3 linked regions of the Coturnix japonica genome follow. The protein of the gene in region 3 purifies or fractionates together with the protein of the main gene of each other region. This does not show direct contact. Links are inferred from orthologs where the notes say so. Each region holds a gene or a part of one and is shown on either strand. Other genes may lie near its edges.

What was found.
Region 1: the proteins of GARS1 (region 3) and IARS1 fractionate together in Homo sapiens (co-fractionation; 3 studies listed by BioGRID). This does not show direct contact. The link is inferred for Coturnix japonica from reciprocal best matches to the Homo sapiens genes GARS1 and IARS1.
Region 2: the proteins of GARS1 (region 3) and GFPT1 fractionate together in Homo sapiens (co-fractionation; 3 studies listed by BioGRID, with this or other methods). This does not show direct contact. The link is inferred for Coturnix japonica from reciprocal best matches to the Homo sapiens genes GARS1 and GFPT1.

Annotation. Positions count from the first base shown.
Region 1 is NC_029527.1:2,288,259-2,291,908, reverse strand, and holds part of IARS1 (isoleucine--tRNA ligase, cytoplasmic), read right to left. Parts: intron 606-3,650; coding exon 462-605; intron 1-461. UniProt on the Homo sapiens protein: Catalyzes the specific attachment of an amino acid to its cognate tRNA in a 2 step reaction: the amino acid (AA) is first activated by ATP to form AA-AMP and then transferred to the acceptor end of the tRNA.
Region 2 is NC_029537.1:1,406,250-1,409,899, forward strand, and holds part of GFPT1 (glutamine--fructose-6-phosphate aminotransferase [isomerizing] 1), read left to right. Parts: intron 1-18; coding exon 19-77; intron 78-459; coding exon 460-594; intron 595-1,188; coding exon 1,189-1,250; intron 1,251-1,721; coding exon 1,722-1,801; intron 1,802-2,243; coding exon 2,244-2,297; intron 2,298-3,650.
Region 3 is NC_029517.1:3,841,734-3,845,549, reverse strand, and holds the end of GARS1 (glycine--tRNA ligase), read left to right. Parts: intron 1-841; coding exon 842-935; intron 936-1,660; coding exon 1,661-1,851; intron 1,852-2,868; coding exon 2,869-2,994; 3' UTR 2,995-3,209; downstream 3,210-3,816. UniProt on the Homo sapiens protein: Catalyzes the ATP-dependent ligation of glycine to the 3'-end of its cognate tRNA, via the formation of an aminoacyl-adenylate intermediate (Gly-AMP).

The sequences.
Region 1 (3,650 bases), on a different chromosome or scaffold from region 3:
CTGGGAAACAATTCCAAGCACATATCTATGCTCCAAGAGCAGGCTGACAATGCAACTCTTATGGCTTTTAACTAACAATTAGAGATGCTTTACAAGCTGTTAGAGCATCTATGTGAAGAGCTGGCTCCTTCTTCACCTCCCTGTTAATTTCTGTTCAATTTTAGACTCAGCCTTTTAAAATAAGCTGTACAGGTGAACTGATTGTCAGAAGTGGGAAAGCAATGCAGAAGGGCTCTTGTTTAAACACCAATCTTTATCTGAAGCCAGCTCTCATCTCTCTTTCAGAAAACTACAGAGAAAAGCTCAGTATAGACACTGTTTATTAGAAAATACACGCTAAAAGCAAAACCACTGCATAGAAATGAACATGTGCACAGACATCTTCATCACTAAGACATGATGTACAGACCTATCACAAAAGTCTCAACCCGTATATGAGAAGAGATTGGTATCCATCATACCTTGTGGTTTTGCATTTACTAACTGCAAGTTGATATATTGGCAGAGAAGAGCATCAGGAGAGTTGATGAGAGCAGGTGCTGACCCTGTTGTCACATGCAGAGTCTTTCCACTGAGACTAAGCAAGTCAGTTTTGTTTATCAGTTCTGAAAAAGAAAATGAGACCAGTCAGGTTATTACAAGGGAAGCCGAGGTCCAGTTTTCACTTCATTAGCAGACAGTAAGTTTTTCTAACTCCTGACTCTGGCATGGAAGCATTTCCCTCTTTGCAATTACTTGTTCAAGAAAGAACTTCACCAGTCTGACAAACAGAATTTATAGAGAAATAGGTATTTATTATTAATGCAGAGTACAAAATCTGCTATGGAAATTAGTTGCTACATCCCACTTCTTACGCACATAAATACGTGACACGACTACTTAACGCAATCAACTTAAAATAAGCAAGGAATTATTTGCTTAAGCCAACCACTTCTATCTCATTAAATTATGACTGATGATCTTTGCCTCTTCCATGACTTCCCTAGCTGAAGCAGCACTGGACACACACCATCATGCAACATCAGTACATCTCACATTAAACTCCAGATGACAGCACATTAATATTTGTGTTTAACATCAATAGTTATGATTCTATAGGTGACTCCAGTCATGAATAGTTAGGAAATGGAGAGCAATCAGACACAAAATAGTACTTTTAGGATTTTAGAAGGATTTTAGAAGCAACACCAGTGCCCTGAAAGCATGCAGATAGGAAACTAATGAGGTGCCTGTAACACAGATGAGGTACATCAACATGCCTATCTCACAAAACTGAAGAGGCAGAAATTACATCACTCTCTATTGCAGCTATCGAAGAACTACAAAGCCCAAATCTAGGAAGAATTAATACACTTAGTTGGTTTTTTTTTTTGTCTATATATCCAGTGCAGGAACGTGTCCTTTCCTTCCATGTCAGTACGACCTGCAAGTTACAGAGACTCATTTTCCATCAGGTCATCCAAATGAATTTGAGATGGACCAAACTGGCACTTTTTTAATTAACAAGGATGTTTATAATTTTAAAGATAGGAAAAGAAAAAGAAAAAGAGGTAAAGTGTGATCATAGGGAACACGCTTCCAAGATTTACCAGCTGCCAGAGAACGCGCAATGAAGTGTGGAAGGTTTAAGGGACTGCCCTGGAAAAGGAAGTAATGAAGGTTTCCCATTTCTACCCTCATACTGCATCTAAGGAGCAACCAAGCTTTTAAAGCAAACAAACAAAACAACATGTTTTCCCAGTTTTTGAAGTATCTACATAACAAGAAATATATTGCAAATAGACCTCTGGTATTTTACATAAAACAACAACAAATCCCTCATCTTTGAAAACCAACCCACGCACAGGAGGGGCTTTGCTTTTGGTTTTAGTTGCAGGAAAGCAAGAAATAAAAAAATAATGTGGTGAATTTAAAAATAAAAAACCAACAAGATTTGACCTGGGAAAGGAGCCAGCAGCGGGTTTTTCCTAGCATAATTCTAAAGCAGCGCTGCTTGCCATTTACATGCAATTACTAGATAATAGGTAGGAGACCGAACTGGAGAGTGGGCTGCTCGACACAGCAAGAACCACAGCCCAAGTAACTCACAGCTCGGCCTTACGCAGTTGCAGTAATCTGTGCAGGTCAACAGGGCACAAGCTCCAGAAACTGCCATTTGCACATTTAATGAGCCGAGCATTTCACATTACAGGACCACTGACATTTTCACAAAGAAGTTCTCATGTACAGTGCTATCATTAGACTGCTCGTATAACCCTCTAATAACAGTAATAAGCAGTCAGGCACATCATTTTTTTTTTTTTTCCATATATAACACTAGACTTGATAACAAGCAGATATTCAAAGTGCTCATCAATATTGAAATCACTTTTAGAGTCAGTTCTCCTTGCAGCTGAGATTTAAGTGCTAATACTCTCTTAAGGGTCCTCACAGCCTTCTAAAAATTCAAGAGAAACACATTGTTTCGTCCTCATGCTCAAAAATACAACGCTAAGAATAGGATTTCAATAATAAGGCTCATGAAAAATCATAAAGATAAAATAAGACACAGTCTAAAAAGTATCAGGGGCAATTTTTATTTATTTTTGCCTTGACTCCCCTCCCTTCTCTAAAAGCCCTCAATGATTTGCAGCTTCTTGCAGTCTAAGAAAGAAACAGATTCATTTCAAATAGGTCTTTTTCTATATGGGCTACTTCCCGGAAAGCTGAGCACAACTCAAAGCACTCACAGCAAGAAGCACGTAACACTGTGAGCTAACTAGAACAGAATAAATAAATGAGAAATAAAAATCAGAAAACTCTCTTTACAATCTGATTTGAACCCACTCTCTTTACTTCTTCGGTCATTTCATGGAAAACAGACACCATTTCTTTTTTCTCCTCCTGGAGTTCAGTACAAAATCCCAGAACCCTGCTCAGTGGTTGTGCAGTTACTCAAAATGCATCAATTCACCGCTGGGGAGGAAATGTTTATCCCATTATTTCAATGTTCTACTGAGAAAGAGGAACATGACATATTTTAGCCTGCAAGAACAGCCTGATTTTATGTCATTATGCAACCTTAAGTATATCTTTGTTACTATTAGAAAACAAGATGATAAAGTATTGCAAGTAAAGTGGACAGGCCTAGAAATCACAGGGAAGAAAACAAGGAGCCAGAAATACAATTTTACTGGGTCACAATTTTATTAACACATGTGGGAACAATTCAGCAACCATTTGTTCAGAATGCACGACCTCTTCTTTGCAATCCCTCTCGGGGAGCAGCTGAGAGCAGCAGCTCTACCTAAAGAGACCCAGGGCCACCAACAGAGCTCAGTTAATGCTAGCTGAGCAAAGGCTGGGGAGGTAAAGAACAGGGACTGCATCCAAATTGAACTGAATGTTGGGACTTCCAGTTCTATTCTCCAGCATCCATAAGAGCCATTTTCTGTTCACATGCTTGCACTCAACCCTGCCTCCTTAGGGAGCCCTATCTCTTACCGATCGATACTTGTTCAAAACCTCTGCCAAAAGTAAATTTGATAATCAGAGCCTTCTGAGGGAATTTCCATGTCATTAATAAGTGGGCAGGGAAAAATACCCTCTCTGCCCTGACCGCTTATACAGCCACGAACAGCAAAAGTGATGTGGAAAGAAGGAAACGAAGC
Region 2 (3,650 bases), on a different chromosome or scaffold from region 3:
GTCTTCCTCTGTCTGCAGAGTTCATCGTCATCCACAATGGCATCATCACCAACTACAAAGACCTGCGGAAATTCCTGGTGAGCAGAACCCTGGCGTTGTTGGGAGGGATCAGGAGCCCTCCATGCACTTCCAAGCTGCATTAGCTGTATTAATGGAGTGGGAAGAAAGGATGGATGGGTGCATGGAAGGGGGAAAATGAAAGATGGAAGGGAAAATGGAAAGGAAGGAAAGGAGGGTGAGTGGTGATAAAGGAAGGCAGGAAAAGAGGCATGAAGACAGGAAATAAGAAAAAAGAAAGGGCACAAAAAGAAGAAAAGTAGAGAAAGAAGAAGAGGAAAGAGAATGCAGGAACAGAGGAAGCAAAGGAGGAGGCAGGATGGGAGGAAAAAAGGGAGAGTTGGAAGAAAGAGAGGGGATGGAAACGGAGGGCTGGTTACCCAATGTGTTCTGTTGCTGCAGGAGAGCAAGGGCTATGACTTCGAGTCAGAGACAGACACAGAGAGCATTGCCAAACTGGTGAAGTACATGTATGACAACCGGGACAGCGACGACATCAGCTTCACCACCCTGGTGGAGAGAGTCATCCAGCAGCTGGTAATGCATGGGGTGCAGTGTGGGGTGGGGACACAGGGATGGATGGGGACAGACATGCACACATCCCAGGGGAGAGCTGTTAGAGACTGGGTCAGGTCCAGGCAGTGTGTGCTTGAAGTTTGCCTGGTCTCCATCTGGAAGAGATGCTGACCCCTGGTGGGAACTCCAGCGCACAGCCTGGCTTCCACGTGTCAGCTGTGGCTGAACTGGTGCAGGACCAGGTTCCACTACAGTGCACATCTCTTCCCAGAGCAGGTTGCTCAGGAGGTGTTTTTTTTCCCCCAGTGGTTTCCCTGGCAGAAGCTGCAGTAACTGCAGACAGGACCAAATGTTGCTTTTTATCAGGTTTTTTCCTTTGTAAGTTCCCTGTGAGCTAACACAGGAGTGCTTGCAGGGACTGCCAGGCAGTTCAGAACTCACTGAGTGGCTGAGGAGGAGCCCAGGGTGCCTGGTGGCTCCAAATGATCAGTGAAATCAGCTCAGTATCTCCAACATATCCACAGAAATGTGGGTGTAGTCTATATACTGGGATGCCTAAAACCTTTTCCTGACCTCAGATGAAGGGATAAACCACTTGTATTTCTTTCATTCTAGGAAGGTGCTTTTGCCCTCGTATTTAAGAGTGTTCATTATCCTGGTCAAGCAGTTGGTACAAGGTAAGTATCTGTATATTAAAAAAACAGTGTTGGTGCACCCAACCTTGAGGTAACTTCCCTCCTCAGCCAAGATAGAAGACAACAGGGGTTGTTCTCATGTTATATGGTAAGGTGTATGGTGTATATAGTAGGATATATCTGGTAGGGTCAGGTTGGCTGTTGTTTTTTACTTCCCCAATTGTTAGAACAGATAATTCCAAAGAGCATATGGGCAAGTGCTCCATTTGACTTGCAGATGAGCCAGCCTGGAGTCCAAGTTTCCTTCTTCACCTTTGAATGTGAGGATCAGTCCAGTTGATTTAACCATATACATTCACGTCATCATTTGGGTTACTCTCACAGAGTTAATGCTGGATCTGGGGCACGTTTTAGCTCAGCAGGGTGCTGTGCTGGAGGACAGCAGTCCCTCCAGGTTGGGTCAAAATGGGATGAACCTTTGGGTACTGAGGACTGTCACTTGGTGTCTTGCAGACGAGGCAGCCCTCTGCTCATAGGAGTGCGCAGTGAGCACAAGCTGTCCACTGACCACATCCCCATCCTGTACCGTACAGGTAAGTGTGAACTTTATGTCCTCTGACTTCAAGCAAAACACATCTTAATGCATTACAGTTCAACCTAGATACTTACATTCATATTATGTGGCATGTTGGCATTCAGAAGTTTATTTGCTTTCCTGAACATTCTTTGCAAGCACTGTCACAAGCCTTATTTTATTCCCCCATAATGAAAATTGTTAAAACCATTCAGTTACTGAGCACTGAGTTATTCTCTGAGCGCTGCAGTGATCGTAAGGACTGTCCCAGTATGTCTTCCTCCTTCCTAATGTTGCTGCTAATGATACCTTGCTGTAATATGAGGAACCAGTCCCAGTAAGCTGTCTTGTTTCATCTTGATTGATGCTGGATTATTAGCGATAATTCTTTATGTATGTATATAACACACTTTTTTTTTTCACCCCACTGATCTGAATTTTGTTTCCAATTACACTTTCAGCTGTTCAGTCTATGGATCATTCTTTTGATGGAATATCCATAAATGTGGAGGAAGGTGCCTACCAAAGAAAATCTTAGTTGACATTTCAGACAAATCCTCCAGTTTGTTAGGAAAGGAATCAAAAATGAAGCAAATAGGCATTGTCTCTTTACTGTGTGGTTATTGCTTTCCATGTAATCTAGTGAAACAAATGGGATAACTGGAATCTGGATCAGGAGCACCATGAGCAACACACAGGAAAGTCCACTGAATCTGTTTCAAGTATTGTGCCCTAATGCTTGGCAGTGAGGTTTACCTGTGTCTGCAGCTCTGTTAACGTGGCTGTATTTGTTCAGCTTGAAGATATGGGGCACTTATTAGGACAAACCATTTTTAATCTCATATTAAATACTTCATCACACCTTCATGTGTGATGTGCTGAACTGAGTTCACACCTGAAGCTGGAAAGAGCAGCTGTGTTAATCTGTGCAGCAGTGCCTTTGTGCTTGGAGTTGTGGTAAGGGAGAGAGATGGTATTAAAATATACTCAAAACATATCCCTCCTCTCCAGTTTTCATTATATTGTGTTGACTTCCCATGGCATTTTAACTCTTTGGTTTAGAAGGGGAAGGATGAAAAGATTCTGTGTTGCTCATAGATTCTTTCATTGGGAACCTATCGATTACCCATAGATAATTGGGTCATCTCTGGGCAAATAGATAAGAGCTATAACTGGTTGATAACACTCATTATAACTTTTCAGCCACTCCTTGGTTAAGATACCGATATTATCCATTCCTGTTCCAGCTTAGAGGAAAGCATTGCAACATAGTAAAGTCAATGCGGGGAAATGCATTTTGAGAAACAAAATTTGCATGTCTTGATCAAGTATGGGTACTTCTGTTGGAGACTGACCACTAACGCCTTCACTCTGTCCTTTCTTTCATTTACTGACCTAATGAAGTGGAGGGCCCTAAACTCTTGGCTGAGTGGAACCTTCTTATGAAGTATCAACATGAAAGCAGTATTTTTCCTTTACATGTGCAGCACTGTGAACCTCAGCATTACGTTACCAAATCAAGTTGGTTCTTAGTCCTGTGTCCTTCAGTCCTTGTAGGTACTTCCCTCCCAGCAGTGTAAGACAGCTGTGCAAATTCTGAATCCAACTGAGAAGCTTGTATTCGGTATCTCAGGAGCAATGCCAAGTGCTTAATCATGAATCCCTCATCTGTGTCTGAGCGCATTAGCTCAGCCAGACTGAAACAGGTTTGCATTACTGCTGGTGGTGCTCAGGTGGCGTGAAAGAATGGCATCCAGTGACAAGAATCACTGAAAGAAAGAGCAATCCTGCTTGCTTTCTCAAAGCTTCAGGACGGTTAGTGAAACACGAGCACAGGAGGCGTTTGTAATGATAAACAGCACAGATTC
Region 3 (3,816 bases):
TCTGCTGCTTTTCCTGGAATCCTACTTGTGTGCAGCAACATGAACAATAGACTGGCCATTTCCTCAGTCCTCCCTGAGATGCAGCCTTCTGTAATTTTAACTAAAAAGTTGCATTCCTTTGTATCTCTGATGTGTTCTGATGTGTGTGCAGGAACAAGATTCAGGAGCTCAGATTTAGGACACAGCTGACTTTCAGTCACAACTGCTCATGACATCTGGGATATTAGACTGTAACTTCTAAGTATCAATTTGCTTTCTGAAGAGCCTGGGCTGCTCTGTGTAATCACGTTGTGTTTGCATTCCTGCTGTACCCTTTAAGGTCCTGCTGACTGTAATAGTCAGGAAGGACTTTTTGGTGCTTTTGGATGTTCCTTGTTTCTGAGGGTGTCTATGGAGGGTTAAGAAAACCTTTAAGCTGCATATATTCCTTGTGCATGGCAGGTTTCTATGGGAATTAAACAGTGAGATGGGTATTGGAAGAACTTTTCCCATTACAGAAGATTAAATCTCCTGGAGAGACTCCTCTTACCCTTCATTTTTCTGTAATTCAGATGAGAATCACTTCCTCCAGAGAGTATTCTATTAGATTTCTCTTTGGATGAGAGATAACATTAGCTGTTAGGAGGGAAGGGGGAGTGGAGGACAGCTGGAGGAAATCAGTCTTTCTCTAGCACTGTGAGGTGTTTGTGCTGAAACCCTAAATGCTAATAGCTTACAGAAAGACATCTACTCCCAGTCACCCTGCCTGTAACCTCAGTTAGAGCTTATTCTTACCTCTTAAGAATCTACTCTTAACTGTTCGACTTGTATTTATTTATGCTTTTTCTTTTTTTTCCTTTAGTTCTTCAGCTTCCCGGCTGTTGTAGCACCATTCAAGTGCTCCGTTCTTCCTCTCAGCCAGAATCAGGAATTCATGCCTTTTGTCAAGGAATTATGTAAGTGAAAAACAGCACTCTGGGCTCAGTGGTGGTGTGCACTGGAGAGAGAGTTTTATTCCTCAGTGCTGGAGGGGAAAAAATAGCACTGGGTTCATGTTGCTCTCTCACGTGCAAAGGGAAAGCCATTAAACTAAAACTTGTTAGCTTTGAGCATCTATGAGGCTTTTCAAACCAGCCTCAAAACTAATCAACTCCTTGGCTTTCCCTGTGTTGGTTACAGTGTACAAACCAATTACTTTTTTTTTTTTTTTCTATCAAAGTTTCCACTTGTGCCATCTAAAAGTAAATACATGAAGGACGGAAACACAGGCTACCTATCAGACAGTGTGTTTTTTTTGCTGTCTGCATCAGACTTTGCTCTGGACCTTGCCTCCCCATGCCAAGCCTGCCCCTGCACATGTGTTAGGCTGGCTTGTTCTTGTGTTAAAGCAAAGCTATGGGAATGCAGTGACAGGTTGAAGGCAGTGACCTTCCTGTTGGTGTTGCCCTTTGGATGAGGGTTGAGTGATGCACTTGTGGAGTGGATCTGAACTTGGAGTATTGGGAGGGACTTCTGTCCAAATCAAAATGAGGACCTGTGATATTGCTTAAGACCAGGGACACACAGTGCCTCACTTCAGGTAGTGCTGTGAGGGTGTGGGAAGACTCTGCTACAAACATGTTGCCTGCTGAGTATGTAATGAGTCCTGGTGATTTCCAGCTTATTTCTCTGCTTATTGCAGCTGAAGCACTCACCAGGAATGGCATTTCTCACAAGGTGGATGATTCCTCCGGGTCCATCGGCCGACGCTATGCCAGGACTGATGAGGTTGGCGTGGCCTTTGGGATCACAATTGACTTTGACACCGTAAACCGAACGCCTCACACTGCCACGCTGAGAGACCGGGACTCAATGCGCCAGATCCGAGCTGAGGTAAAGGGCTGGCAGATGGGTTTTGCTGCTGCCAAATTGGTTTCTTACAGAGTAAGGGAGATGCTGCTGATCCACCAGTATCTCTGGTCTACATGGGAGCTGTCTCCAACTCCTTTAGGCAGTGTAGCTGTTCTGAGAAATCCTCCAGGGAAGAGATTGGTTTTCAGGGTACTTTTGAATCCACAAGCACCAAAGGCAGAAGAACTGTGCTTGCTGTATCCTGGCTGACAGAGCACAGTGCAAGCACACTTTCTCTCTTCCTGCTGGTCTTTTCAGCAGCAGTCAGACTGGTGAAATGTTGCCCTAAAGGCTTGCTTGCCCTAAGCACACTTTGCTGAGATGGTTGAAATGCAAAGACTGCAATAGGAAATCTCCTTACAGCAGTTTCGTTGCCTGTGAGCAGAACTCTGTGCCCTTCTATGTTCTTGGTGGGAGCCAGGGAGTTTGGCTCCTATTGCAGCAGGAGGCAGTGCTGAGCTCTTCCAGTTCAGATCACTGTAACCTAGTGTGCTTCTCAGAGCACCCCTCTGCCTCTGTATCCCCTGCATAACCCTCACTGCCACATAGCATTGTCATCACCAATTTTTTACCAATTTTCTGGTTTCTTAAGCCAACTCTTCCCAATATTGCCAGCGCACAGTGAGGAACAATGAAAAGGCAACCAACAACTCCTTTTGTTCTGGTCTTAGAGTAAGTAGGGCCTGGCAAACCCATGGCTTTCAGCATCTCCTGGATGTGTGTATTGTTTTCTTTCCCTTACAAAACTGTAACATAGCGTTAAAAGGGATTAATCGTGCTGTGACCCACAACACTGACTATTTTTCCTCATGTGTTACCTTGAGTAACTGAGCAGTCTACTGAGATGACACAGACTGTGATATAAGTCATCCTGTTAGCTAATGGTGCTGGTGTGTTGGCTTTATTTCTTTTTGACTTACCCACATTCCCCAAATATCCAGCAGGACAAACAGATTCTGATGGGTTCACGTTCCATTTGTGTTTGTGATTTGTCTGCAGGTCTCTGAACTTCCTGCCATAATTCGTGACCTGGCGAACGGTTATCTAACTTGGGCTGACGTGGAGGCCAAGTACCCACAATTTGAGGGACAAGAGACTGGCAAAAAGGACACAATAGAGGAATAAAGGAAAGGGACTGAAATAATTCCCCTGTCACATGTCCACTTTTTACTGTTCATGTTAATATGAAATAAACTTACCATGTATTATTCCAAGCTGCATTGTTTGTGCACACAGGGACTATTTGATTTTCTTTTTCCTCAACCGCTGCCTGAATTTAACTTTAAAAATAACTGCAGTCAAAGTAAAAGGTGTTATGAATAAAAGAGGCCGTGATATTATGCCTGCTTCTGTGTGTTCGTGAAGCCTTGTGCTTTCTTCAGAAGCGTCTTGTGGTTGGTTTATTTGTTCCTCATGTTGATTGTGGCTGTTACAGGATTATTACAGTCCCTCAAGACCACGCCACCCCGTCATCAGTTCACATCACTTTGGATGCCCGTGCAAGGTGCTGCATGCTGTCTGGCCTTGTCCATGAAGGGATGATGAAGGTATCAATCCTCTCACCACTTTTTGGTGCCTCTTGCAGCTACCATAAGAGATGGGGCTCAATGTTTTTTTTCTGTTGCAGGTCTTCAATGATATTCTGCAGAATTAGGAGCACTTGCCTGCAGGTGAGCAAGAGGAGTGGGAAATCCAGTTCTTGTTCTTGCTTGGCGTGGCTTTGCTTGCTGAGGGTATGAGCTGTAGCTGGTGCTGTCCAGCCTAGAGAAGAGGAGGCTACAAGGTGACCTGATAATGGCCCTTCAGTATGTAAAGTGGGGAAATGAGAAAGAAGGGGACAGACTTTAGCAGGGTTTGTGGTGATAAGACACAGGGAAATGGTTTCATGCTAAAAGAAGGGAGATGTAGGTTGGATGTAAGGAAAAAAGTCTTATACGGTGAGGGTGG